Linked DNA regions of Macaca mulatta. The protein of the gene in region 7 binds, or shares a complex with, the protein of the main gene of each other region. Links are inferred from orthologs where the notes say so. Each region holds a gene or a part of one and is shown on either strand. Other genes may lie near its edges.

What was found.
Region 1: NUP153 (region 7) and CETN3 share a complex: the UniProt entries of both Homo sapiens proteins name them as parts of the nuclear pore complex. The link is inferred for Macaca mulatta from reciprocal best matches to the Homo sapiens genes NUP153 and CETN3.
Region 2: NUP153 (region 7) and NUP93 share a complex: the UniProt entries of both Homo sapiens proteins name them as parts of the nuclear pore complex. The link is inferred for Macaca mulatta from reciprocal best matches to the Homo sapiens genes NUP153 and NUP93.
Region 3: NUP153 (region 7) and NUP160 share a complex: the UniProt entries of both Homo sapiens proteins name them as parts of the nuclear pore complex. The link is inferred for Macaca mulatta from reciprocal best matches to the Homo sapiens genes NUP153 and NUP160.
Region 4: NUP153 (region 7) and NUP214 share a complex: the UniProt entries of both Homo sapiens proteins name them as parts of the nuclear pore complex. The link is inferred for Macaca mulatta from reciprocal best matches to the Homo sapiens genes NUP153 and NUP214.
Region 5: NUP153 (region 7) and NUP188 share a complex: the UniProt entries of both Homo sapiens proteins name them as parts of the nuclear pore complex. The link is inferred for Macaca mulatta from reciprocal best matches to the Homo sapiens genes NUP153 and NUP188.
Region 6: NUP153 (region 7) and NUP205 share a complex: the UniProt entries of both Homo sapiens proteins name them as parts of the nuclear pore complex. The link is inferred for Macaca mulatta from reciprocal best matches to the Homo sapiens genes NUP153 and NUP205.

The regions. Positions count from the first base shown.
Region 1 is NC_133411.1:96,792,236-96,796,527, forward strand, and holds the start of CETN3 (centrin-3), read right to left. Parts: upstream 2,801-4,292; 5' UTR 2,682-2,800; coding exon 2,665-2,681; intron 839-2,664; coding exon 703-838; intron 1-702. UniProt on the Homo sapiens protein: Plays a fundamental role in microtubule-organizing center structure and function. As a component of the TREX-2 complex, involved in the export of mRNAs to the cytoplasm through the nuclear pores.
Region 2 is NC_133425.1:52,438,642-52,442,141, reverse strand, and holds part of NUP93 (nuclear pore complex protein Nup93), read right to left. Parts: intron 2,703-3,500; coding exon 2,586-2,702; intron 1,232-2,585; coding exon 1,113-1,231; intron 1-1,112. UniProt on the Homo sapiens protein: Plays a role in the nuclear pore complex (NPC) assembly and/or maintenance. May anchor nucleoporins, but not NUP153 and TPR, to the NPC. During renal development, regulates podocyte migration and proliferation through SMAD4 signaling.
Region 3 is NC_133419.1:17,735,945-17,740,055, reverse strand, and holds the start of NUP160 (nuclear pore complex protein Nup160), read right to left. Parts: upstream 2,801-4,111; 5' UTR 2,620-2,800; coding exon 2,418-2,619; exon of another isoform or gene 2,159-2,417; coding exon 2,047-2,158; exon of another isoform or gene 474-2,046; intron 1-473. UniProt on the Homo sapiens protein: Functions as a component of the nuclear pore complex (NPC). Involved in poly(A)+ RNA transport.
Region 4 is NC_133420.1:16,423,360-16,427,593, reverse strand, and holds the start of NUP214 (nuclear pore complex protein Nup214), read left to right. Parts: upstream 1-1,434; 5' UTR 1,435-1,553; coding exon 1,554-1,598; intron 1,599-3,151; exon of another isoform or gene 3,152-3,253; intron 3,254-3,684; coding exon 3,685-3,880; intron 3,881-4,234. UniProt on the Homo sapiens protein: Part of the nuclear pore complex. Has a critical role in nucleocytoplasmic transport.
Region 5 is NC_133420.1:18,641,133-18,644,632, reverse strand, and holds part of NUP188 (nucleoporin NUP188), read left to right. Parts: coding exon 1-124; intron 125-2,376; coding exon 2,377-2,451; intron 2,452-2,532; coding exon 2,533-2,760; intron 2,761-2,874; coding exon 2,875-3,006; intron 3,007-3,264; coding exon 3,265-3,338; intron 3,339-3,453; coding exon 3,454-3,500. UniProt on the Homo sapiens protein: Component of the nuclear pore complex (NPC), a complex required for the trafficking across the nuclear envelope. Required for proper protein transport into the nucleus.
Region 6 is NC_133408.1:175,474,967-175,478,308, reverse strand, and holds part of NUP205 (nuclear pore complex protein Nup205), read right to left. Parts: intron 2,713-3,342; coding exon 2,546-2,712; intron 1,008-2,545; coding exon 884-1,007; intron 440-883; coding exon 311-439; intron 1-310. UniProt on the Homo sapiens protein: Plays a role in the nuclear pore complex (NPC) assembly and/or maintenance. May anchor NUP62 and other nucleoporins, but not NUP153 and TPR, to the NPC.
Region 7 is NC_133409.1:165,434,602-165,438,101, reverse strand, and holds part of NUP153 (nuclear pore complex protein Nup153), read right to left. Parts: intron 3,430-3,500; coding exon 3,235-3,429; intron 2,668-3,234; coding exon 1,783-2,667; intron 1-1,782. UniProt on the Homo sapiens protein: Component of the nuclear pore complex (NPC), a complex required for the trafficking across the nuclear envelope. Functions as a scaffolding element in the nuclear phase of the NPC essential for normal nucleocytoplasmic transport of proteins and mRNAs.

The DNA.
Region 1 (4,292 bases), on a different chromosome or scaffold from region 7:
CCTTAAGAAATTACAAAAATTAAAACTATCAAATAAACACTTACATTCACCTATCCATTAAGGCTATTAAAAATCTCAAAATACTATCTTTCCCACTGTGCTGAAAGTAAGTCCCATTCTACCCTAAACCCAAATCTCTCCTTATACCCTGACAAATAATAATTTACAAATCCCTCTCTACACCTTGACATTCTAGGTCTTAAAGTTGACATTTTTACCTACAAGCATGTGTCAACATCAAACAGCACTGAAGTTGTTTGTACCACAGAAAGTGGATTGAGACTATGTTACTAACAAATACAAATTATAAGATTAAAAGACAACAATCCCACAATCTGAAAACAGTATGAGTCACCAAGAAACAAAAACAAAAACAAAAAAAACAGTGAAAAGAATATGGTAATAGTTTAAATTCCAGTTTGAAATCCTTTAATTATGTCAGTGAAAAATAAGCACCTTCCCTAGGAATGTATTGTTACATTTAAAATGCTATTCGTTTTATCACGTGAAAAAGATTTTCTAAAAACTGTGTTAGGAGTTCTATTCAGTATTATTATAGAATCTAACTATGAATGCTTAAAATGCCTTCATAGTTCCAAAACCAATTTAGTTAAAATAATTACTTAGAAATGTAATGTAAAGCAACTGTCAAAATGCAAATCATTTTAACACAGAAACAAGTATTTTAAAGTATACCATTACCTTTAATTCATGATAATCTATTGCTTCATCTTTGTCTGTATCAAATAGTTCAAAAGCATCTTTAATTTCTTGTTTCTGTTCCTCAGACAGTTCTCTTCTTTTTTTCCTCTTTGTTTTGTCTACTACAAGCTCACTTCTATGAAATGGAAAGAAAAAGCCCTTAGTCCACTTTAATTCTCTTTACTAACAGAAATTAGCCAATAATTATTTTCTAAATTTCAAAAAAGAAAGTACTTTGGAGAAAGACAGGGAAACTTTCCCTTTATGAGTCAATGCCCTGTTTATTCCATAGTCTAAATTGCTATAAATATGAACTTCCCAAAACTAAAGAGTGTTACAGATTATTAAAAGAAATGAGGACCAAACTTTTCCTTTTCCCAGCTTTTTATTTATTCCCACTTTCCCTAACTTTTTATTTATTCAAGAACTGTGAATAAGCAACATTACTTTTATGTCTGAAACTCCAACCAACTCCAACCAAAAAAAAACAAAAACACTCACATTATTCTACAAGAATGTTAAAGAAACCAAAAAATCTCCAAATGAAACCAAAATTCGTAACTGACAATCACCATATATCGGTTTACTTTTGATAGTTCTGATAATTAAGTTCATAAAATTACTACAAAAAATACAACTGGATTAACTTATATTTTGGGACTGTTGGTTCAAAATGTTTTTAGATTACACGTTTCTAACAGTTTGGCAATTTATGTGTCATTTCCTCCACTGATATTAACAAATCACCCAAAATATTAATGAGTCTAAACATATGACAAATATTAGATGTCAAAAAAGTATACAATATTTGTGCTTCATAAGTCTTGTCTCACTTAAGATGTAAACTGGAGGTTAAACTTCTCATAAACTCTGGAAACGCTTAAAGAAAAAAGCAAAAATTACTTTAAAGCCAGAAATGTTTTCCGTAAGAGCTGCCCATCTAAATGTGCTCCAAGTTTTCCAATGGAGCCGCAACACTGGTATAAGAACAAGTTTTGAAACACACAATCTGGTAACACATTAACATGTCAAAACCAGTTGACTGTATTTAAAACACGTATCTAGCTGCATTTGAAAGTCGTTTTGGTCTCTGAACGCTACAAAAAAAAAAAAAAAAAAAAAGGCTAGGAAGTGACCAGTAGATGCAGTATGACAAAGCTGAGGAAGATCTTCCTTTCATGAGACCTGACTTGACACAAACTTGGGTATTCCTGGGGTCAGTCTTTTCCTTCCTGAGACTTTTAGAGGCCAAGTCCAGAACCGACCCACCCCTGACCCCATCCAAGGGTACCATGATTATCCCTTAGCAGAACATGGAACATTTTTAGAGTGTCCTAAGTATATGTATAGTTTTACGGTACAACGTCTACGTAGGGGGAGCGGGTAACAGACAGAGGGTTAGAGGTTAGAACTGAAAGGTAAAGAAATGAAAGAAACAGGAAATCCAAGAGACAGTTTGCCAATTAGTCACTAAAATGGGTTTCTAATTACACCGTAAAGCAGGACCTTGGGAGAATAGCAAAGAGTTTTTTGTTATTTCCAAAATTTATAGGTGGATGATTGCATCAGCAGCAGAGCAGCGGAGGTGGGGCCCTGGCCAGGCATACGAATTGAATGAAGGGATGTTCCGCGGCCTGATCTCTCAGAGCAACAGAGTAGAAGCCTCGCGATATTTCATTCCCTCCCCCTCGCTCGCAACTAAGCCCATTTTTTTGGTAGTCGAAAGCCCTACGCGCTGACAGAAATAACCTCCTTAGTAGAAATGCACTGGAAGTCTCGTTCCCTGCAGGGCACCAGAGCCCAGAGGGTGAGTGATCCAGACAGGCTGCCCTAGGCTCCTTTCCCGCATCCCAAACAGCATCCCCTGCCTCGCCACGGCCCCAAACGGCCTCCCTTCCACACACACCCTCCCTAGGTCCCGCTCCGGGGTGTGGAGAGCACTGCCGCCTCCTTATTACCGACCTCAGAGCTAAACTCATTATCTCTTCGGACAGAGTCGTTCCTCTCAAGAAACGATTTTAACCCCCTACCCAAAGCAGCAAGACTCCCACAACCGTTCAACAGACACGAACGACCTCAGCGGCCTCAGGGACCTCCCACAACATAGACACTTTTGAGCTGGATTGGTTGAAATGTCGCTATGGTTCTGCCCATTATGGCGGAAGCTTTACCAGTTTTATTTTAATTGGGTACGCTTTACGTCAATCAAGAAAAAAAAAAAACCTCTCTCTCCCCGCCCCCCCCCCCCCGCCACCCACCCCGCCCCTCCATTCCTAGGGCCGCTCTCGCCCTTCGGATTGGCCTGATGCCTTTTTCCCCAAATCCTTTGCGGGTCCGGCCTCCGATCCCTGTGTGGTGGTTTGCGTAGTGGGTGCTCCTAGTCTCTCGCGTATTGTCCTGCGGTCTGTGGGCCGACGTTCGAAAACTGGATAGATAACTTGGACGGTGGGAAGGGAAGGGACACGCTGCACGCCACCCTCCGGCTAGAAGGAGGCAGTAGTTGAGGAACAAGGTCTGCGAAGCGTGGCTCTGCTCTGTTCTAAAACTTTGGATGGCTTCAGTACCTGGGGAATGTCTTTAAAATGCAGACTTAAATGCCCCTTTCTCCATTCTAATTTCAGTAGGTATGAATCTGCGTTTGTATTCCTCACAAGCCTTCCAAGTGATTCTGAGGCAGGTGCTGTGACTATACTTGGATTATCACAGGGTTAGATTATCAGGCTATTTATGGTGATGCTGTATCTAAACCGCCCTTCCCTCTCCTTTTCCTCCTTTGAACTGTTTGAAACGGATTTGTTGGCTTCTGTCTCTTATTTTACGGTGCTGTAAATTGTTAATACACGTGAGACTGTATTCACTACCAAACCAAGTCTCCTAAAGCTCACTTGAATGTCTACTTATTCGTCTCCCTTACCAGGTTCAGTTTCTTGAAGGCCATGATTATATCTATTTAACGCTTTTCCTTGTACCTAATAAAATGTCTGGTGCATAGGTGCTCGGTAAATTGAGTGGAATCTTTTGAAAACCCACAAAATACTGAGCTAAACAGCAAATCTCATAAACGGGAATAAAATAGCCTGAGAATGGGAGTTGAAGGCGGAGAATATGTAAACATATGTTTAAGGGATGTATATAAAATTTTAGAGAAGGGAGAGAGCACAAGATGGGCTTCCTAAAGAGGTGGCATAAACGTTAGACCTACAAGGATGGGCTAAATTTGCACAAGTAAAGATAGTATGATAGAACAAGCTAAAAATTAGCTAAGGGATAGCACCCCTAAAAAACAAAAGCGGAACTTTTATTTTGTTCGTATTTTAAATTTTAAAGTACCTTTATAAATCACCTTTGAGTCTAAAAGGAAAGAGAAATTGTAATTACTAGAACATAGTGATATTGAAAAAAACTATATGTTAACATTTTAAGACACAGACCAAACTATAGGAGAACATTATTTTAAATAAGAAAGAATAAAAATAGACCAGGCATTTATTTGAAGATGTTAGAAATGAAGAACAAAATTGTATAATTGAAATTAGGAAGAGGAAATTAGTAAAGTTTGAGAACAACGTTTTAAAAGGAAACTGGTCAAA
Region 2 (3,500 bases), on a different chromosome or scaffold from region 7:
TGGGAGGCTGGGGCGGAATGACTGCTTGAGGCCAGGAGTCAGAGACCGGCCAGGAGTGAGAGACCAGACTGGACACACAGCGAGACCCCATCTCCACAAAATATTAAAATATTAGCCAGGTGTAGTGGTATGTGCCTGTAGTTCTATCTCCTCAGGAGGCTCAGGTGGGAGGATTGCTTGAGCCCAGGAGTTCGAGGTTACAGTGAGCTATGACTGCACCACTGCACTCCACTCCAGCCTAGGTGACAGAGGGAGACCCTGTCTCAACATACAAAAAATACATAAAAAGCATCAAAACCTCTTGAGCTCTCTGGGTGAAGTTAATTAAAGAGTGTAAAATGGTGTTTATTTTGAAACAGCCAAGCACTGATAGTGGATTTGGTATGAATCCACCTACAGGTACTCCACATGGAGCGTGGTTCTCCAGCCTTGACCATCATCTCAGCATCCAATCTTCATGAAAGGTAGAAGGTCCTGACGGGCAAAAAGCCGAGCGGCCATCACTAGGGATTGTTTGCTAGGTGGAGATATCTCATTTACCAAAGAATGCTCTTTTGTGTTACCCCGGGAAAGCACTCCAAACCCAGTTTTCTCTGGGTCATTTTATTAGCAATATCTATAGAGAGCACAAAAAGTAATGTTGTTAGCCTCAGCCTGGGACTTAAACTAGTTAAAAGTCTGATAATTCAGTTAACTCACTGGGGATCCAGGTTGTCTGAAACACTGGCCACGACACCTCTAAGAATCTCCCCCATCCAACTATCACTAGCTTTGGTCTTGAATGCCTTTGAGAGGGCTGATGAGAGTATACAACAGTATATAGGTGAGCATAATGCCTACAATTAAACTTCATGTGCATGACTAAAATACTGAGATGCCCTTTCATACCCATTTCTTTGGCAAAAATGTTAAGTTTGATAGTACCAAGTGCTAGTTCTGATGTGGGGACAAAGGAACTCACGCAGTGCTGGTGGCATGATGAGTTAGAAGAACCACTTTGGAAAGCTGTCTGCTGTTACCTAGTAAAGCTGAACATGCATTTGGGTGGGCAAAGGTGGCCTGGCACTGGCAGTGGCACCCTCAGGGTCCCATGGAGTCAGCTCCTGGCTTACCGTTCAGCAATGGAGAGTGCCATGTTCTTCAGCCTCTCCTTGTTGGACTGCGGGGCACTGATCTGGGGGACGACAGGGCTCAGCAGTTTGTTCATCAGTTCCAGTACCTTGTCAGCATTCTGCTCACGTTTTTAAAATTAAGGAAGCAATCAATAAAATAATCAATAAAAGGAACAAGTATATAATGCCCCCTACCCACCAAAGAGAACTTTCTGGGGTGATGGATGGAAATGTTTGGTATCTTGATCTGGATGGTGGTTACAAAGATATACACCTATGCACAATTCGTCAAGCTGTACATATAATTATTGCACATTTTTCTACATCTTAATTATACCTCAATCAAAGCATTTTTTACCGCCTCCCAGGTTCAAGTGATTCTCGTGCCTCAGCCTCCTGAGTAGCTGGGATTACAGGCATGCACCACAATGCCTGGCTAATTTTTATATTTTCAGCAGAGACGAAGTTTTGCCATGTTGGCCAGGCTAGTCTTAAACTCCTGGCCTCAAGTGATGTGCCCGCCTTGGCCTCCCAAAGTGCTGGGATTACAGGCGTGAGCCCCTGCACTTGGCCTATAGCTGTTTTTTTGGTCTACTTTTCTCAGCTGATAAAGAAGAGAATGTAATCTTGTTTAGGTCATAGAATCCTTAGCAGCTACCATATGTTCTTAGTCATCATTTGTTCTTAGGTAGAAACATGTATTCTAGTCATCTCAAAATGCCCAGCTGTGGTCTTATTTTCTTTCACTCCTTCCTGCACACTGATGTGGTCTTATCTTCTAATACTACTGTTCCCCAGTGTGTCTGTGGCTGCCAGGGTCAGCATAATGCCATTTTCTTTTTTGTTTTTTTTTTTTTTTTTTTTTTTTTTTTTTTTTTGAGACGGAGTCTCGCTGTGTGGCCCAGGCTAGAGTGCAGTGGCCCGATCTCGGCTCACTGCAAGCTCCACCTCCCGGGTTCGCCATTCTCCCGCCTCAGCCTCCGAGTAGCTGGGACTACAGGCGCCCGCCACCACACCCGGCTAGTTTTTTGTATTTTTTTAGTAGAGATGGGGTTTCACCATGTTAGCCAGGATGGTCTCAATCTCCTGACCTTGTGATCCACCCGCCTCGGCCTCCCAAAGTGCTGGGATTACAGGCTTGAGCCACCGCGCCCGGCCCATAATGCCATTTTCAACAGTGGCTTCACCATGGAAATGTGATGGATGCTAATTCTGCTGCCAAGTGAGACAATAGTTCAATGCCTGCAGGACATACTTTCAATATGTTGTTTGGTCAGAAAAATCTTATGGGAAGAAATACAGCTGTAAAATGGGAATTCTGTCCTGACTGGACCATTAACTGTCTAAGCACTAGAGCAAACGCCTCTACAGGGAGGGTGCTACAACAACGACACTGTCGAAGTGGCTGCACATTTAATGCCGAAAGGCTGGCAGACCTGTGAAGTGCAGAAGAAGGAAGCAGGCACACTATACCTTGGCAAGGTCATACAGCTTTGCTGCCTCTTCAAACAGTCCTTTATTTTCTGCCACGGAAGCAACTTTGTTGATAATAGGCTTTGTGTCACTAGTAAACTTATCTATGACTCCAGGCTGACAAGACAAATTATGGAGGGGGAGGAAGAGACAGACGGGTGCACAGAGCTATTATTTTAAACAAAGAGACGCAATTAGGACCCAAAAAATACTTCAAGTGAAATTGCTTGCCCTGGGCAATATATGTACTCCATCAGCCAGACTCTGGCTTTCTTGAAGATATAAAGTCCTATTAAAACTATAAAAGAGACCAAGGAAACTACACATGAAAGGGCAGACTTACTAGAAGCACAGAGGAGTCAGCAATAAGACATCTGTGCTTTCTAATTTTCCAAAATGACCCAGAGAGTCAGTGAAATCAATGATTTTAAATTTGCTGATGAGTAGGAACCACAGAGAAAAAGCAGGAGGCTTAGAGAAAATATCTGAAAGATTTTGGATTTGTTTTCTAAGACAGATGGCAAAAGGAACTCAGTGCTGAAAAAACACATGGCAAGTGGTAACAGGACATTTCTTAAAAAAAAAAATCACCATCACCACTCGACAGCAACTAAATGCTCAGGAGAGCATGAGAGAGGCCTTAGGTACCCTGGGAGAATGAAGGCAAGTGCATAATATCTCTGCCTGGCCATTCTGCTTCTCCACCGGCACTGGACTCTCAGGGCTGGACCAGGTCGAGGTGACTTGCCCTGCCACTTGGGAGGCAGGAGAGGATAAGGTCTTATCTATGTTTCCAGCTCTGTCAACTCACACACACTGGAAGCCTCCTGGCCCCAGTACAGCCTGTTAAAGAAGAAACTATGCAAAGCACTCAGTACCATGCCTGGTGATTGTCATTGCCCAATAACCAAGGCC
Region 3 (4,111 bases), on a different chromosome or scaffold from region 7:
GCCTCAGCCTCCTGAGTGGTTAAGATGAAAGGCACATGCCACCCCGCCTGGCTAATTTTTAAAAATCAGGCCGGACATGGTGGCTCCGCCTGTAATCCCAGCAAGTTGGGAGGCCGAGAATGGGGCACTGCTTGAGTCCGGCAGTCCAAGACCAGCCTGGGCAACCAGGCAAAACCCCATCTCTACAAAAACAAATAGAAAAATCAGCTGGGCATGGTGGCGCATACCTGTAATTGCAGCTACTTGGGAGGCTGAGGTGGGAGGGTCACTTGAACCCAGGAGGCGGAGACTGCAGTGAGCCATGATTGCACCACTGCACTCCAGCCTGGACAATGGAGCCACCAGACTGTCTCTCAAAAAGAAAAGAAAAAAAAACAGAAAGAAAAAAGAAAAAAAATTGTAGAAATGGGGTCTTGAACTCCTGGCCTCAAGAGATCCTCCCACCTCAGCCCCCCAAAGTGCTGGGATTACAGGTGTGAGCCACTGTGCCCAGCCAAAATATTTAACTAAATGAAATTTGTATCTCTAACATAAAGTCTCTCTTTTGAGCCTTAGACCTGTAAATTTCAATGCCTACTTGACATTTCCAAAGGGCTGCTCCCCAGGTACTTCAAATTTACTATGTCCAACAGAATTATTCATATCTTTCCAAAATCCATCTTCTATGGATCTCTGTAAATGGCAACCCCTCCCCACTCACATCTGGTTAGTCACATGAGACACCAGGGAGCTGTCCTTGTTCTCTCCTTTTCTTTTACCATCCCTTACCCCATATTCAATCCACCACCAAGTCCTAGTGAATCTATCTTCCAAAGGTATCTTGAATCCATCTACTTTTCTATTTCTATTCATTCCCACAATTGAACCACCAGCAACCCTTACTTGGGCCATCATAAAAGCAAACTTTTTTTTGCATTATACCCATCTAATCCAAATCCACTTTCCACAAAGTAGACTGAGATCTTCTAAAAATACATTTTAAAAAATTTAGATTCAGGGGTACATGTGCAGCTTTGTTACATGAGTATATTGTGTATATATTCCTATCTACATGAGGTTTGGGCTTCTAATGATCCTGCCGCCCAAGTTGTGAACACAGTAACTGATAGGTTTTCCAACCTCTGCTCCCCCGCTCCTTTTGGAATCCCCAGTGTTAACTGTTCCCATCCAAAAATGCAATTTTGATGTTAGTAACTCTTTAAAAACCTATTCCATTATTACTCAATGTACTTAGGATAAAATCCAAAAATCCTTAAAAATGGCCTAAGGGTCCCTCATGGTCCGAGTCCTGCCTACCTCTCCAGCCTCAGTATCTCACATTACTTTCTGTTTTACCCACTGCACTTAAGCCACACAGATCTTTGGTCAGTTCCAAACCTGCCACATTCTTTCCACTTTGTGACCTTTGCATATGGTGATCCTGCTTGCTGGACTCCTCTCTGTCCACTCCCCATACCTGGCTAACCTCGTGTCCTTTAGATCTCAGGGTAACTGTGAAAGCCTTTTCCTGCCCCACTAATAACATTTGGTCCTCTCATTAGCCTCTCGTAACCCCTGTATTTTTCCTCTAGGGCAAGTTTTCCTCCACAAAATTTCCCCATGAAAAGTGAGTCCACAACTATTCTGACATTGCTACAACGTCTTGCATGATGAAGATGGCAGTTTTGTTCATTTCGTCCTGGTACCTAGCACAATGCCTGACATATTGAAGCTCGAACATATTTGTTCAATGAAGGAAGCTGTAAAGCACTATAAAAACATAATGGGTTCATGTTTAAAACTAGTCTTATGGGCTTTATACCCCTAAGCTACATTCCCTCTGCTTTTGGTGTTGCTTGGTGTGTGTGTGTGTATTGGTGGGGGGGGAGGGTAAACTCTTCTAGAACTGTCTCAGTTTTCCCGACTCTGATACGAACTGAAAAAAAAAAACTTTCTCTTTCCCTAAGTGTCGATTACCGCTTCTAGAATAGCACTTTGGGAACAGCAACTAAAATTTACACACCAAACCCTACCTTCCAGGGGAGTTTGGCGAACCACAGCACTTACCAATGAATGAACCTGTTTCTGGTTACGGAGAACAACTTGCCACTCTCCACATAGTAAAAGCCTCCCGCGCTCTCACTGTATTTTACGGCGCCAGCCACGGCATTTGCGGTCCCTGCAAAATGAACGTGGTCAGCCTGCACACGCGTCTTCTGAGAAATGACAGGGACTAAGGGACCTGATAAAGCAGAGGGTGACAGACTGACAACCCATACAAAGAAAAGAGGAAAACGTCGGACATCAAGGAATCTCTGATCCCGGGGCTGGAGGCATGTGGACTCAGGAGGATGAACCCAGCAGTCAGAGACCCTAGGACCCATGAGAGGAGCCCGAGGGGACAGATCGGATCGCGCCCTCCCTGGCCACTTCCGTACCAATGCTGCAGACTGTGAATTCCCGAAAGTGCCTCGGCCTTTCGCGCTCAGCCCCGCTTAGCTCCACGAAGCTTCGTTCCAGGGATCCCGCCGCCGCCATCTTCCCGCCGTCGCCGCGATGCCCGACGGGACAAAGGCAGGGCCGCGCGGCCGCCGTCACTTCCGGGGGCGGGGCGGGCGGAGCTGCGGACGGGTGAAGCATCCCGGGAGCAGAAAGGGGGCTTCCGTCCTTCGTTGCGGGGCTTCCACCGGGAGAATGAGGATGGGCAGCGGGGAATCCAGAAGAGAAGCGGGCAGGGGAGGCCGACTGTATCTGCTGGAATCTTCGAGTGGCCGGCTGGAACGCCTCCGGAGGGCGGTGCCCTTTTCTCAGCGGCCGCAGGGCAGGGGGCGGGACCGGGTTTGTTTCTGTTTCCAAAACGCGGGGCTCAGTCTCCCAGGAGGGGCGAGGTCCGGGGAGGTCCGGCCTTTGGGCGTCCTCTGCCGGATCCCGGGTGTTTGGTCACCTCTCCCTCGGTTAGGGTGTCCGTCTGTAAATCTTTGCCGATCCTCCCTTCGCTCTTCAGTGGCACTTGGGTTGGCGGGGTGAGGAAGGGGTAGTGAGGGAAGGGCCTTTGGTTTTGGTCTTTTTTCCCCCCAAGAGACTGTATTCGTGTATTCCTGTATAATGAAACGTAATGTGGTAAACCTTGATGCTGCCACCTGCTGAGGTTACCTGAGTGCTACTCACTTGGATACGTGAAAAGAATTTGCCATTCATTCCAACCGTGATCTTGCACTTGGCTGTCAATGCAATAAGGGCCCATAGTGGATGTTTAGAAGATATTGTGGGGGTAGATGTTCAAAATCGGGGAAAATGCTAATCTCCAGCAGGGAAGGTTTTGTTCCTTAGTGATAGCCAACGCTTGTTGGTCACTTCTATTACCAGTGACCACAGCCATTCCCTGTCATTCTCTGTTTCATTTATCTGGTTCCGACCATCATTTCCTATCTTTCCACTTCACTCCCTCTGGGACACCAACTTTGGCAGTGCAGCCCCCTCATTCTACCTGAAATCCATTGTTATACAAGCTCTTCACTGTCCCTCACTTCTTTGGTGTTTCTTCCTTATCCTGAATACCATTAAATTACTTCATTGCCTAACTCTTCATCAGTAAAAACAACTTCGATTACATTCAAATCTGTAGCTGAACGTGCCTGAAGAAAACTATACACCAAGGTCGGGTGTGGTGGCTCACGCCTGTAATCCCAGCACTTTGGGAGTCCAAGACTTGAGGATCACTTGAGGTCAGGAGTTCAAGACCAGCCTGGCCAACATGGTGAAACCCGGCCTCTACGAAAAACAGAAAAATTAGCCGGGCGCAGTGGCTCACGCCTGTAATCCTAGCACTCTGGGAGGCAGAGGTGGGCGGATCACGAGGTAAGGAGTTCCAGACCCGCCTGGCCAACATGGTGAAACAGTGAGATACAAAAAATTAGCTGGGCATGGTAATGCACGCCTGTAATCCCAGCTACTCGGGAGGCTGAGGCAGGAGAATCACTTGAACCCGGGAGGCAGAGGTTGCAGTGAGCCGAGATCGCGCCACTGCACTCCAGCCTGGGTGACAGAGCAAGACTCCGTCTCCAAAAAAAAAAAAAAAAGAAAAATTAGCGGGGGCATGATGATGCGTGCATGTAATCCCAGCTGCTTGGGA
Region 4 (4,234 bases), on a different chromosome or scaffold from region 7:
ATTCACTACAGAAATTTATTGTACGAAAGACTGTAATATCATCAGTCAGCCTTATATCCAGACAATCTCAGTTCTCATCCTGTCACTACCACTTTCTGACTGAGGGCCACCGGAGAAATTTCTCAACTTCCCCTGTGCTTCCCTTACCTCAACAATTATTATTATGTATGTGGATGTGTATATATACATATATATATCTTTTTTTTTTTTTTTTTCCTGAGACGGTCTCTGTCACCCAGGCTGGAGTGCAGTGGCGCAATCTTAGCTCACTGCAACCTCCACCTCTTGGGTTCATGCCATTCTCCTGCCTCAGCCTCCTGTGTAGCTGGGACCACAGGCGTCCACCACCACGCCCGGCTAATTGTATTTTTAGCAGAGGTGGGGTTTCACCATGTTGGCCAGGCTGGTCTCCAGCTCCTGACAGGTGTTCCACCTACCTCAACCTCCCAAAGTGCTGCGTACAGGCGTGAGCCACCGCGCCCAGCCCATTTTTATTTTTTGAGGCAGGGTGTGGCTCTGTTACCCAGGCTGGAGTGCAGTGGTACAATCACAGCTTACTGCAGCCTCGACCTCCTGGGCTCAAGCAATTCTCCCATCTCAGCCTCCTGAGTGTGCTGAGACTACATGCGCATGCCATCACTGCTGGTTAATTTTTGTGGTTTTGTTTTGTTGTTTTTTGTAGAGACGGGGTCTCGCCATGTTGCCCAGGCTGGTCTCAAACTCCTGGGCTCAAGCAATCCTCCTGTCTCGGCCTCCCAAGTGCTGGGATTATAGGCGTGAGCCACCGGCGCCTGGCCTACCTCATCAATTAAATAATAACCCCTAGGATGACTAGAAGTCTTCAAGATTACATGAGATCCCACATCTGAAGGTTTTTGCAAAGGACGTGGCACAAACTCGTGCAACTAGAGATGCATATGGCTCTTGCTCTGGAAATGATCACCTTGATAGGAGCAAACAAAGCTGGTCTTCCGTGCCCTTTAATCTCCCCTTCCAGCCTTCCACCTTCCACACTGGCGACCCCCCAACCCCGTTTTTCTGAACCTCCCTTCCTCCCCTTGCATAGCCCAAAGCCTCTCTCTAAAGTAGCCCACCGAAAACATCTGTCAAGTTCCTAACTTATCTGAATCGGAAGCTACTAATAGCCAACCTACATCTAAGAGGAACTGTAAGGTGTCAGAGGAACAAGGAGCATAGGTCGCTTAGACGTGGGCCACCCAAGAAGACAGATTGACACTAAGCGAACCCGCGCTGTCTGCGAAGGCGGGAGCGGCACCAGGACGATCCAGGGCGCAGGCGCCGGGGCCCCACGGCCACGCCCCTATTCAGCACGAGTTGGCCAATGGGGAGCGGCGGCCGGGAGAACGCGCGGCTTCTTTAGGTTCCGCTGCCTCCCCGGCCAAGCTTGACGTCACCAACGCGCGCCGGAAATGCGAGATCAACTGCGCGCCGCTGGCGCTGAGGGAAGGAAGTTTGCAGTCCAGCGGCCTAGGTTCTGTGGGCAAGGCCGTGGGAGGCAGCGTTGGCTGCTTCGACACACCGAGGGCGGCGCGATGGGAGACGAGATGGATGCCATGATTCCCGAGCGGGAGATGAAGGTCAGAGACTAACTGGGGCCTCCCTCCCTTCTTTAGTCCTGGCGTTGCCTTGGAGCCCAGCTGAAAGGCGAAGCGCGGTGCCGGCTGTCCCGTCTCCTGCTTGAACAGACTACCGCGTTCACCGCTCTCAGCTGCGCGTCTGCCGCGCCGCTGGCGTGATAGCCCCACCGAATGCAGTTTCCCAGTCCCATCCTGGTCTCGTGCACGTCTCTTGAGTTACCCTAGCTAGTTTCATGTGGCGGTCACAATAGTGGCAATAACTGCTGTGTATGGAGCGTTGACTGTGTGCCAGTCGCTGTGTAGTCATCGCAGCAGCCCTACGAAGTGGTTATTAACGTAGAGGAGTAAGTCGAGGCTCGGAAAGTGATTTCCCTAAAGTCACATTTGACAGCGGGGCTGAAAGCCAGCATCGTTTAAGACCTTCGCTCTGCCAGTATTTCTGTAAGGCGGTACGGGCTTGCCTAACGTAGGGTCAGGGGAGGTCATCCATCCTGCAGAACCTTTAGTTGACTGGACTAGGAAGACTGTTTTGATATCGGTGTATCAGCCTCAAACCAGGAACCTAAAGGGAGGGCTAAGTGTTTCCAGTGATGGCAACGTGGGAGTCCCCCAGGGATAACTTCAGGATGGTGTGTTTAATAGTTCTTATATGTGTTCTGACAGAATGAGGGTGCAGCAAACGGCCTACATCTGTTTTAAATAGTGAAAGGAAGTAAGATGCAGGAAGATTTTAGTCATCTGTGTGAACAGTAAATCACTAACATGCATGTAGGGCATAGTAATACATACCCTGTTTAGAATAGTGATTTTTTTTTTTTTTTTTTTTTTTGAGACAGAGTCTCGCTCTGTCTCCCGGGCTGGAGTGCAGTGGCCGGATCTCAGCTCACTGCAAGCTCCGCCTCCCGGGTTCACGCCATTCTCCTGCCTCAGCCTCCCGAGTAGCTGGGACTACAGGCGCCCACCACCGCGCCCGGCTAATTTTTTGTATTTTTTAGTAGAGACGGGGTTTCACCGTGTTAACCAGGATGGTCTCGATCTCCTGACCTCGTGATCCGCCCGTCTCGGCCTCCCAAAGTGCTGGGATTACAGGCTTGAGCCACCGCGCCCGGCCTTTTTTTTTTTTTTTTTTAAGACATAGTCTCGCTCTGTCACCCAGGCTGGAGTGCAGTGGCATGATCTCGGCTCGCTGCAACCTCCACCTCCCCAGCTCAAGCGATTCGCCTGCCTCAGCCTCCCGAGTAACTGGGATTACAGGCACCTGCCACCATGCCTGACTAATTTTTTATATTCTTTGGTAGAGATGGGGTTTCACCATGTTGGCCAGGCTGGTCACAAACTCCTGACCTCAAGTGATCTGCCCTCCTCTGGCTCCCAAAGTGCTGGGATTACAGGTGTGAGCCACCGTGTCGGCCTAGAATAGTGATTATTTTTTGAGAATCACCACCTGTGGTGAGCCACCTAATGGGATTGTGTCATATTCCTCAGATATACTGGGGTAGAAGAAAAAAAGGGTTTATTAATAGAATCACAGACTTAGAAGATGGTAATCTCAGACTCCCTTTGGCAGCACATATAAAATTGGGATCATGCAGAGAAGACTAGCATGGCCCCTTTACATGGATGACACACAAATTCGTGAAGTGTTCCATGTCAGAAAACACTGAAGGCCGAGCGGAGTGGCTCACGCCTGTGAGCCTGCACTTTGGGAGGCTGAGGCGGATGGATGACTTGAGGTCCGGAGTTCGAGACCAGCCTGGCCAACATAATGAAACCCTGTCTCTACTAAAAATACAAAAATTAGCCGGGCATGGTGGTGGGCGTCTGTAGTCCCAGCTACTTGGGAGGCTGAGGCAGGAGAATTGCTTGAACCTGGAAGGCAGAGGTTACAGTGAAGCAAGATCGCCCACTGCACTCCAGCCTGGGCGACAAAGCGAGACTCCGTCTCAAAAAAGAAAAAAAGACAACTGAGACAGACCGTGTTCTCAGTAATATATATTTTTGTTGTACTGAAATTGGGTCTACTGAATATAACTTGTTTTAATTTCTTTATTTATTGAATTGATCTTGTTTTGATTCTTCACAACAGGATTTTCAGTTTAGGGCGCTAAAGAAGGTGAGAATCTTTGACTCCCCTGAGGAATTGCCCAAGGAACGCTCGAGTCTGCTTGCTGTGTCCAACAAATATGGTCTGGTCTTTGCTGGTGGGGCCAGTGGCTTGCAGATTTTTCCTACTAAAAATCTTCTTATTCAAAATAAACCCGGAGATGATCCCAATAAAATAGGTAAGTTCCGTGGTTTATGTTGCAAAGTAGAGAGAGGAGTGTGGTGGCATGCTCTTGTGTTTCCTTCCCAAGAAGTCATTCTAATACTAAAATGAACACTGCTGTCAGTTTGAAGGTTGACTCCCAAGAAGATTAATGGAAGCCTTTCTAGGTTTTCTCCTTGGTCCTTTGTACTTTTCCTTACATGAGTTGTTCTTCTCAGCTCAAGAGGGAAGAACTTAACCATTATGCCATACTTTTATTCTTGCCCAGTTGAACTTGGGCTCTGGCTCTCTGGGTGAAGGGTTTTATTGGCATGGGTTTTCAGTTGGCACAACAGTACGATCCAAACTATTGGCAATGTGTACTATTTAG
Region 5 (3,500 bases), on a different chromosome or scaffold from region 7:
GAGGACAGTGCAGAGTCTGGCCTGCCTGGAGGAGGCGGACCACACCGTGGGTTTTATTCTGCAGCTCTCCAACTTCATGAAGGAGTGGCACTTCCACTTGCCTCAGCTCATGCGTGATATCCAGGTGGGGGCCCCGGATGGTGTCCTGGAGTCTGGAGTAATGCTTGGAGACAGGGAGGCTGTGAGCTCTCACTGGGGCACCTCTAGTGAATTGCAGGATGTTCCTGAACGGGGGCTTTTCCCTTGCGGAACACAGGGTTTGGTGTCATGTGCTTACTCTGGCTAAATGTTTCCTTTCATAGTCAAGGGTAGCCATGTAGATTAAGAACTTGTACTTGCCGGGCGCGGTGGCTCAAGCCTGTAATCCCAGCACTTTGGGAGGCTGAGGCGGGCGGATCACAAGGTCAGGAGATCGAGACCACAGTGAAACCCCGTCTCTACTAAAAATACAAAAAATTAGCCGGGCGCGGTGGCGGGCGCCTGTAGTCCCAGCTACTCGGGAGGCTGAGGCAGGAGAATGGCGGGAACCCGGGAGGCGGAGCTTGCAGTGAACCGAGATGGCGCCACTGCACTCCAGCCTGGGCAACAGCGTGAGACTCCGTCTCAAAAAAAAAAAAAAAAAAAAAAAGAACTTGTACTTTATCAGTTAGATATTGGTTCAGATCCTTTGAGAATACACCTGCGGGCCGGGCGCGGTGGCTCAAGCCTGTAATCCCAGCACTTTGGGAGGCCGAGGCGGGCGGATCACGAGGTCAGGAGATCGAGACCATCCTGGCTAACACGGTGAAACCCCGTCTCTACTAAAAATACAAAAAGAAATTAGCCGGGCGTGGTGGCGGGCGCCTGTAGTCCCAGCTACTCCGGAGGCTGAGGCAGGAGAATGGCGTGAACCCGGGAGGCGGAGCTTGCAGTGAGCCGAGATCGCGCCACTGCACTCCAGTCTGGGCGACAGAGCGAGACTCCGTATCAAAAAAAAAAAAAAAAAAGAATACACCTGGGACCAGGCGTGGTGGCTCATGCCTGTAATCCTAGCACTTTGGGAGGCAGTCAGGAGTTTGAGACCAGCCTGGCCAACATGGTGAAACCCCATCTCTATTAAAAATAGAAAAATTAGCTGGGCGTGGTGGTGCGTGACTGTAATCCCAGCTACTCAGGAGGCTGAGGTGGGAGAATCGCTTGAACCTGGGAGGCGGTGGTTGCAGTGAGTCAAGATCGAACCGTTACACTCCAGCCTGGGCGACAGAGCGAGACTCCCATCTCGGGGAAAAAAAAAAAAAAAAAAAAAAAAGGCTGGGCGCAGTGGCTCACGCCGGTAATCCCAGCACTTCGGGAGTCCAAAGCGGGCGTATCACAAGGTCAGGAGCTCAAGACCAGCCTGGCCGATAGGGTGAAACCCCATCTCTACTAAAAATACAAAAATTAGCTGGGTGTAGTGGCGCACGCCTGTAGTCCCAGCTACTCGGGAGGCTGAGGCAGGAGAATGGCGTGCACCTGGGAGGCGGAGGTTGCAGTGAGCCGAGGTCACACCACTGCACTCCAGCCTGGCGACAGAGCAAGACTCTATCTCGGGGAAAAAAAACACTGAACAAAACCAAAAACACACACACACCTGGAGCTGGGAACCAGCTGGAGGTGAAGAAAGAACACAGGCTCCAGAGCCAGGCAGGCTTCTCTCATCTGCTGGTTGTATGAGCTTGGCCAAGTCACTTCAGTTATTTGTAACCTTTTATTCTTTTCTCATAAAATGGAATCAGCCATAATCCTCATCTTCATTTTATTTATTTATTTATTTATTTATTTATTTAGAGACAGAGTTTTGCTCTGTCGCCCAGGCTGGAGTGCAGTGGCGTGATCTCGGCTCATTGCAAGCTCTGCCTCCCGGGTTCACGCCATTCTCCCGCCTCAGCGTCCCAAGTAGCTGGGACTACAGGTGCCCGCCACCGTGCCCGGCTATTTTTTTGTATTTTTTAGTAGAGACAGGGTTTCACCGTGTTAGCCAGGCTGGTCTCAATCTCCTGACCTTGTGATCCGCCTGCCTCGGTCTCCCAAAGTGCTGGGATTACAGGCTTGAGCCACCATGCCCAGCCTCATCTTCTATTATTTTAGGACCTTATAATATACGAGGCACCTAGCTGGGTCCCAGTGAAACAGTCCAGTCCTGAGCCCTACTGGCCCCGAGTTTGTAGCCCTGAGTACTTAGTGGCTATAAGGGCTTTAAAGCTGGAAAGTGGCCAGGGGAGCATGAGGGAGGGAGGGAGAGAAGAGCAGCAGCGAGTGAGAACGCGTGGGTGTTACGTGGAGGGCTGTTGGTTTGGGCTAGTTGGGTGACTGGGCTGCTGACAAGAGAATCCCTCATCTCTCCTGTGTCTCTCCCAGGTCAACCTGGGTTACCTGTGCCAGGCATGCACCTCCCTCCTGCACAGTCGAAAGATGCTGCAGCATTACTTACAGGTAAGCGTCCTATGCCATGAGGGGCTGGAATACCTCACTGTGGCTTCCCGAGCTCCACCTTCATTTCTTGACTCTCCCTAGAACAAAAATGGGGATGGCCTCCCCTCGGCCGTTGCCCAGCGAGTCCAGAGGCCACCGTCTGCTGCTTCTGCTGCCCCCTCCTCCTCCAAGCAGCCCGCTGCTGACACAGAGGCATCAGAGCAGCGGGCCTTGCACACAGTCCAGTATGGCCTTCTCAAGATCCTCAGCAGGACGCTGGCAGCCCTGCGCCACTTCACCCCAGATGTCTGCCAGATCCTGCTGGATCAGGTACCGACCATCATCTGTTCGGCACCACCTCCCCTAAAGGCTCTGCTCTGCTGTGCACTGAGAGCTACCTGGGGCCTTAACTGGGTCCTGGATGGCTCTTGACTTTTCTTGCAGTCCCTGGACCTTGCTGAATACAACTTCCTGTTTGCCCTGAGCTTTACCACTCCCACCTTTGACTCCGAAGTGGCCCCCTCCTTTGGGACCCTTCTGGCTACAGTGAATGTGGCCCTCAACATGCTTGGAGAGGTAAGTGGGTTCTGTCACTGTCCTCTCTCCCGGCTCCTCCCCCAGCCCGCCACTTTCAGCCAACCTTGGGCATGGTACCTAGCCTCCCGAGACTGCTCCTCTCCGTAAACTGAACATGACAGCACCTCTGAGAATTACTGTGAGGATTAAATGAGGTAACTGATGAAATTTGTTTAGTGCAGGGCATGCAAGTAGGAAGCTCTCAGTAAGTGGGAGCTGTTCCTGTTGTCTTAGTTTTTTACCCTTCCTTCTCTTCAGCTGGACAAGAAAAAGGAGCCCCTCACCCAGGCAGTGGGGCTCAGCACACAGGCAGAAGGGACCAGGACGTTAAAGTAAGCGCTCTTTCTGAGATTTGATAAGGGGCTGGGGAAGTCATGGGCCCACTATTCTCAGGTTTGGCCAGCCTGGCCCTCTGTAGCAGTGCCAAAAACCTGCTTCTCCTCCCAGGTCCCTCCTGATGTTTACCATGGAAAACTGCTTCTACCTGCTCATCT
Region 6 (3,342 bases), on a different chromosome or scaffold from region 7:
CCCACTCTAGCAATAAGAATCAGCATAATAGCAGACCTACTCCATTCTTCTAGAGCTGGGTCAGTCCCTAACTGCAGCAAGAAGCTGAGGAACAGCTGATGAGCAGGCTCTAGAATATTCTTATGCTCGGCACAATGTCCCGTGAACAGAAAGTAAAATGCAAGAAATAGCTACGTCTAGTGACTAAGCAGCTCTTGATTCACCCAATTCACTCTAAGTAATCTGGAAACATAAATAAATAAAAACGTTACTAGCTTTTCAAGGCACAAATAGGTATTTATGGTTCATTAATTTTTAGCAGAAAGTTTACCTTGCAGTCTTCTGCTTTTAAACAAGGTTCTCGAGGCAAATAAGGAATCTTGAGAATCCGTGGGCATGCAATGTAACAAGTAGTACTCCAGATGGCGCCAAAGAATAAATAGGCAGGTCTCTATGATAACTATATCAGAGCTCAGATTAAAGGAACATAATCTCATCAAATATTTTTTACAAACCAGTTTCTGAGGAGGAGAAAAAAGGAGAGACTGCACTCACTTAATGAGGTAGCCACAGCCTCAGTCTGACAGACAGGGTCCCACTGAAGGCTCCTCAAGAGGAAGCAGCAAGCTGTGCTGAGGAAGGAGGTGGGGGTCCTGTGCCAGCAGTCTCATGTCCCTACCTTCTTCCCTGACAGAAAGTGCCCATGTATATTATCAGTATTACCAGCTACTCTAAAAGATAAGAACAAAAAAGTACAATTTGGAAATACATTAGGCATTTACTGGGAAAAAATTAAGTTTATATCTCCTTCCACCTGGTTTTGGTGCCCAAATATTGAGAGAATAAGTGAAGAGTTCCTACATTTCAAGGTCATCACTCAAGTGCATGATTTCATAAAGGATACAAGAACAAAGGGAAAGCAGTTTAGCTCGATTGTTGATCACCTTCACCAAGCGCCGTCTTGCTAGAACATATTTCTGGGCAGTGGAGATTTTATCAACACCAGCAGGCATCACAGACTGACACAACTAGAAGAAACAAACGTGGTTATTAGAATGACATCAACTGGAACAAAATTTTTAATGAAAAACTACTATCAGCAGGTCACCGTGGTAAATGCTGTGAAAACACTCGAATTTAAACATCCTTGCAGATAAAGAGTTTTTTATCTAAGAAGCTAGCAATTTAAAAAAATTAGAGCCAAAGAAGCAAATTCACAAATGAACATTTATCTGCTGCATTTTGAAAAAGTCTGTCCCTGAAACACAGTCAGGGTTGCTGATGAAACCCTGAATTTCCTGTCACATTAAAACAAAGCAAGACAAAACGATAGGTTTTTCAAGCAGTAGCTATAAGAATCCCATGGAGAATTTCTAACAGTTGTCAGGTATCTCCTGCAAAAAATACAAGGTAGACACCTAGAGCATAACTAAAATATGACCCTCAACCAAAGCTCCCATGACCACTTCTCAATGTGGCACACACACGAGCACAATGGTTCCAGCTAATGTTCCAAAGCTGGGTTCCACGGAAGGTGTACTGAAGTGAGGCTGATGGAAGGCCACACACTTCATAATAATGATGCAATTTCTCTTGCAAGTACAAGCATCACTGATTAGCTACACGTTAGAGGAAGGACTGCCAGGCATAAACCCAAAATTTCAGGGGTTCCCTAAACCCAGTCATTGACTCCTGCCTCACCCTGTTCCTGCCAGCTACATGCCTTTGGGTGTGTTATGCAAGTCTGTGCCTCCGTTTCCTCACGAGAAATGAGAATAAAAACAATATCTGCCCAGGTGTTAGGTAGAACATGTAGTTCAGGGCCTGGCATGTTGTAGACACTCAATAAATGTCCCCTGAGATTACCAGAAGAGTGGCAAGAGGGAGTAGGCATGGACTACTCAAAAGAGTAACATGGAAGTTTTTAGAAAGCTTGGTGCAAACCAGGAATGATAAAGTGGTTCAACATCCAGGCGGCCACAGGACACCAGGAAGCTTCAGCACTGCCTTAGGAACTGGCCAAGAGATGCCTTACGTTCAGCTGTGCCAAATGGAAAAGGCAGCAAACTACTTAGTAGCAATCCTGGTCATTCAGCATCTTCAGTTATTAATACAGTAAGTAGAGGGAATGATTCTGGGTCACTGAGAGAAGGCAGTCAAGTCTCATATGCTACCAATTTTGTTTGAAAAATTTGCTAAACAGATATTGAAGATGCTGACGGCACAGAGACATTTACCTAAGTTCTATTAAAAAAAAATCTGCAACAGAAGCCTTTCTCAGCACAGATTTTACAGTATAAATGACCCAAAACTCTTCATTCAAAGGCCAGCTGCCTTTTTATTTTTTTGAACAGGTGCTACACTTCACTGTTTTTCAGTCAAGAGTTTCTATGCTTATAAGGCTGGTGCTATGGCAAAAGAGTCTTCTTCAAATCACACAGAAGAATCATTCCAATTCCTCCAGTCATAATGTATACACCGTCTTTACTCAGTCTGAGACCAGCACCCTGGCCCTAGTAACAGCAATGATTTCTCAAGTCCCCCCAGCTCATTATAAGATTCGTACCTCTTTTATCTCATCTGGGGGAAGCTGGTCTACATTCTGTAGCTTGCTGACACTCTGTCGATGACTGTCATAATAGCTGAAGAAATCATTCGCACTCTGTTTCAGCAGGTAGACAATAATGCCTAAACCAGGCAGGCGCCAGTATGGAACCACTGGAGCTTGGGTATCTAATAGAGGTGATGAGATAAAACAATGTTCCACTTATAAGCATTTCATGTGAATTTCAAATGACCTGTTTTAAAACAAGGCATGCCCCAGAATTTAAGGACATGTAACCTGTCATTAAAACCAACCCAAGATTACTTTTAAATACCATTGATAGTTTAAAGAACAAATGGTTAGGAGCCACTGTAATCAGGTACATACATAAGGCTGGAGATCCTGCAAGAATAAAGAAATCTGACTGATGCACGTTGGCAGAGTCTACCTTTTATTAGGCAGAGAGTTCTTTGAGAACTCTATCAAAGTATAAACCTTACACACACACACACCTCCACATAAAAAACAATATACACAATTTTGGGGTTTCTTAACACCAAGTGAATAATTTCTGCCTTGCCTGATGGCTCTAGTTGTATGGATTCATTTCTGGTCTGCATCCTTCTGGTTACTAAATTGCCAGTTCAAAGTCATTTCTCTTTCAAAGAGACAAGAACACTAACTGAAATATTCAAAAAATATAAATGGATTTAAACTTTAAAAAATCTTTTACCACAACAACTACATTACGGTAGTAAAACAAAGTGATCTGCCTTTTACCTGGCTACTGGCTAATGAAGACACAAAGGAACAGTGGG
Region 7 (3,500 bases):
TCAAGCTCTACAAAAATTCCCCTAAGAACTAAAATTATGGGAGGAGGAAGGGAATATCTTTGCCCAGCAACAAGTACGCCTTTTGTGTTCTTTTATTATTTGGCATGTTAAAAGTTCTGCTGCTTTTATAAAATACAAGTTAGAAATGTTAGAAAAAAACAAATGAGATATGCCGATTTGAAGAAAAACTTTTGATTTTTATATCATGATTCTGAATCCAGCCACCTTATTGAAGACTTTTTTCTAAACTATTCCAATAATCTCTCAGTTCCAATACTTCACACTATGCAGGGCTGGTCACAGTATGCTATCGGCATTAGTCTGACTTACAGAAAATGGAACACGTTGGCTCACTTTCAAGCTGGCTAATGGAAGAATGGTTAAGAGTGTCTACCACAGCCTGGTGTTTCACCATCAAATCTGATTAGACCCTATCATATTTCTGTTGCTTTCCAAATAATATGTAATTTTAGCTTTTATTTTATCTTTATATTTCTAAGTAAATATATGACAGACAAAAAACTGCTCATAGTTATTTGTTGAATTCCATATAAAAGTTAATTTTGAGTGTTTCCAATTTATTATCCAAAAGTATTCATGGATATTCAACTTTTGCACTTTTTGCACATCTAAAAACACCTGTATTTTGCCTCTGTGTTTGTTGTTGTTGTTGGGTTTTCTTGAGACAGAGGCTCGTTCTGTTGCCCAAGCTGGAGTGCAGTGGCCAATCTCAGCTCACTGCAACCTCTGCCTCCCAGGTTCAAGAAATTCTTGTGCTTCAGCCTCCTGACTAGTTGGGATTACAGGTGTGAGCTACGGCACCCGGACTGTCTTTATACTTAAACACATTTGGCTAGTAACAGAATTCTAGGTTCAAGAACATTTTCATTTTGAGGGTACTGTTCTGTTTTTAGCATGTGATGTTGCAAATTAGAAGATGATGCTAATCTGGTATCTTCCTATTTGTGGCAAATAGCTTTTCTCTCTGAAAGCATTTGGGGTTTTAGCTTTGGTGTCCTAAATTTCAGTGATCTTTGCCAATAGGTAATTTCCATTTTTAAGACCAATGTCTTTCTTTAGATCTAGAAAATTTTCTTCTGTCACTTCTTTGATATTCCCCCAAAACTTCTTATCTTCTAGGTCACTCCTGTTCCAGAGGAACTTGTGGATCTAACTTGGATCACTCTTTGTACTTGTGCACTAAGTTCAGGGAAATTCTAGTTCACTAATCTGATGATCAGCTATGTTCTTCCTGCTATTCCGCCCACAGAATGACTTTAATATGATCCACCAACAATGATGCTTTTAACCTTTAAGGTGCTGTGTCATTTTTTTTCCCCCAGGACTTCAGCTTTCAAAATCTCTTGGTTTCTCAGGATTAATTATATTTGTTGTCTATGTTTCTTAATGTCTGATGAGGACTGGTTATCTGTAACTATTTATAAATACCATAGATTATGGTAGAAAATACTTCATAAGCTAAGAATCCTTATTTTCCAGGTAGTAGATACCAATTCTGATTATAAAAGCCCAAACAGAAGAGAAAGACACACATAAATATGCACTATATTGAGCTTTGCATTACTGCCGTATTTCTCAAAATTAGATCCACAGATGACTTCATCAGAATCATGAGGGTTTTAAAGAGTGGTTCAAACTGAAAATCCTAGGTTCCTTCCCAAAGAGTTCTGTATTTCTCAACTACGTTCAGTGCAAACCATTACTTGACTTGCTGCATCTGTAAAGGCAACTTGTAAAAAAAATAATAAAGTTAATACTTACCAGCTGTAGTACTAGTTTGAGCTCCAAAGGCAAAAGTGGCTTTTGCTGGCTGTTCAGATTCCTTCTCAGATGGTTTTGTCATGCTAAAACTAAATGTGGACTTGGAAGAATTCTCATCTTTGGTTTGCTCTGAATTCCCAAAGGAAAACACTGGTTGACACTTTGGCTCTTCATTGTCAGCTTTCTTCCCAAAAACTAGGGAAGTAGAAGTGACAGGCTCTTGCTGTTTCTCTTCTGTCCTTCCCAAAACAAACACTGAGGCAGATGGCAGAGAGGCAGGCTCCACATTGCCAAAAGAGAATCCTCCTTTGGTGGCTGGCATTTCTTCTTTTTTAGCTTCTGATGTCTTACATGTGAAAGGAGCCACTGAAGCACTCTTGGTTTCTATGGTTCCAAAGTTGAAGCTGCTCTTGTTCTCAGAGGTCACTATGGTGTTAGCAGGAGCAGGAGTGGAGTTAATAACACCTGTACCAAAGCTAAAACCTGCAGATGAACATTTGGGCAGTTCCTCTTTCTTTTCTTCCTGTCCAAGATTAGACACCCCAAATTGAAATGGAGTTAAAGAAACTGGGTTGCTTAAACCAGAAGAAAGTCCAAACTTAAAATTATCATTCTTACTATCTTTTTTAACTTCTTCGGGCTTAGATTCAGATGATACTCCAAATTTAAAATCTCCTATTGGTTTAGAAAATTTAAAGCCTTCACTCATGGGGTTTACAGACCCAGAATCAGATGACACACCTATTTTGAATCCTCCCTGATCTCCAAATTTGAAATTTCCAGTGCTTGTTAAAGCCTGAGAAGGCCCAGAAGAGGGTGATGGGACACCAAATTTGAAGGATGAGGAGGCTGCTGAGTTCGAAGATGAGGAAGATGTGTCAAAGCCTGCAAAAATATAAAAGACACCACATAGACAATTAATGTACTGATGCTCTCAAACAAAATATAAACATCTTGAACGCCAAAGAAACATAGGAATAACTTTGAAAGGGTCTACTTTGAAGAGTATTACCAGCAGTCGTAAACATAATTCAAGGTGACCAATATTTATGTGGTATGAGAATTGTATCTCACTCCTCACAACTATCCTGACATGCCACTTTTCATTTATCAGACTGGCTGAGATAAAGTTTGATAAAGTTTATACTGGCAATGAGACTGGAAGTAACAGGCTACACATTGCAGGTGGGTGTATAAATGAGCACAAAACTCACAAGGAGCAATCTGTCACTAGTTACCAAAAATTACAAATGCATATATCCTTTGACAAGCAACTAACTGACCTTACAATAATTCAGAAACAGATATAAACATCTCAGGATAATCTCATTTTATATTAATTTTCAAGAGAGAATGAGTGAACACTGAAGCTGTTCTCAAATACTTCATTTTTAAATGGCCTTACAAAAAGGCGCTTTACCATCACCTTTATTTTTATTTTTTTGGCCTTACCTTTAAACCCAGATTTTGTGCCTGGCTTTGCACTTTCACATGCCAAACATTTGGTAGAGTCAGCCTTATTCTGCACTAGGCACACTTCACAGTCCCAGCTCCCCTCAGGCTTCTTGAACTTTTCCAATCCTAGAGAGCCTCCAGAAGGCAGAGAGATGGGTACAGTGCTGCTACTTGAAGTAGGTACTGAACTTCCTAAAAAAAAAAAAAAAAAAAAAAAAACAGGGAGTGGGGAGGGGCAGAATTCATGAAAATTTTAATTTATA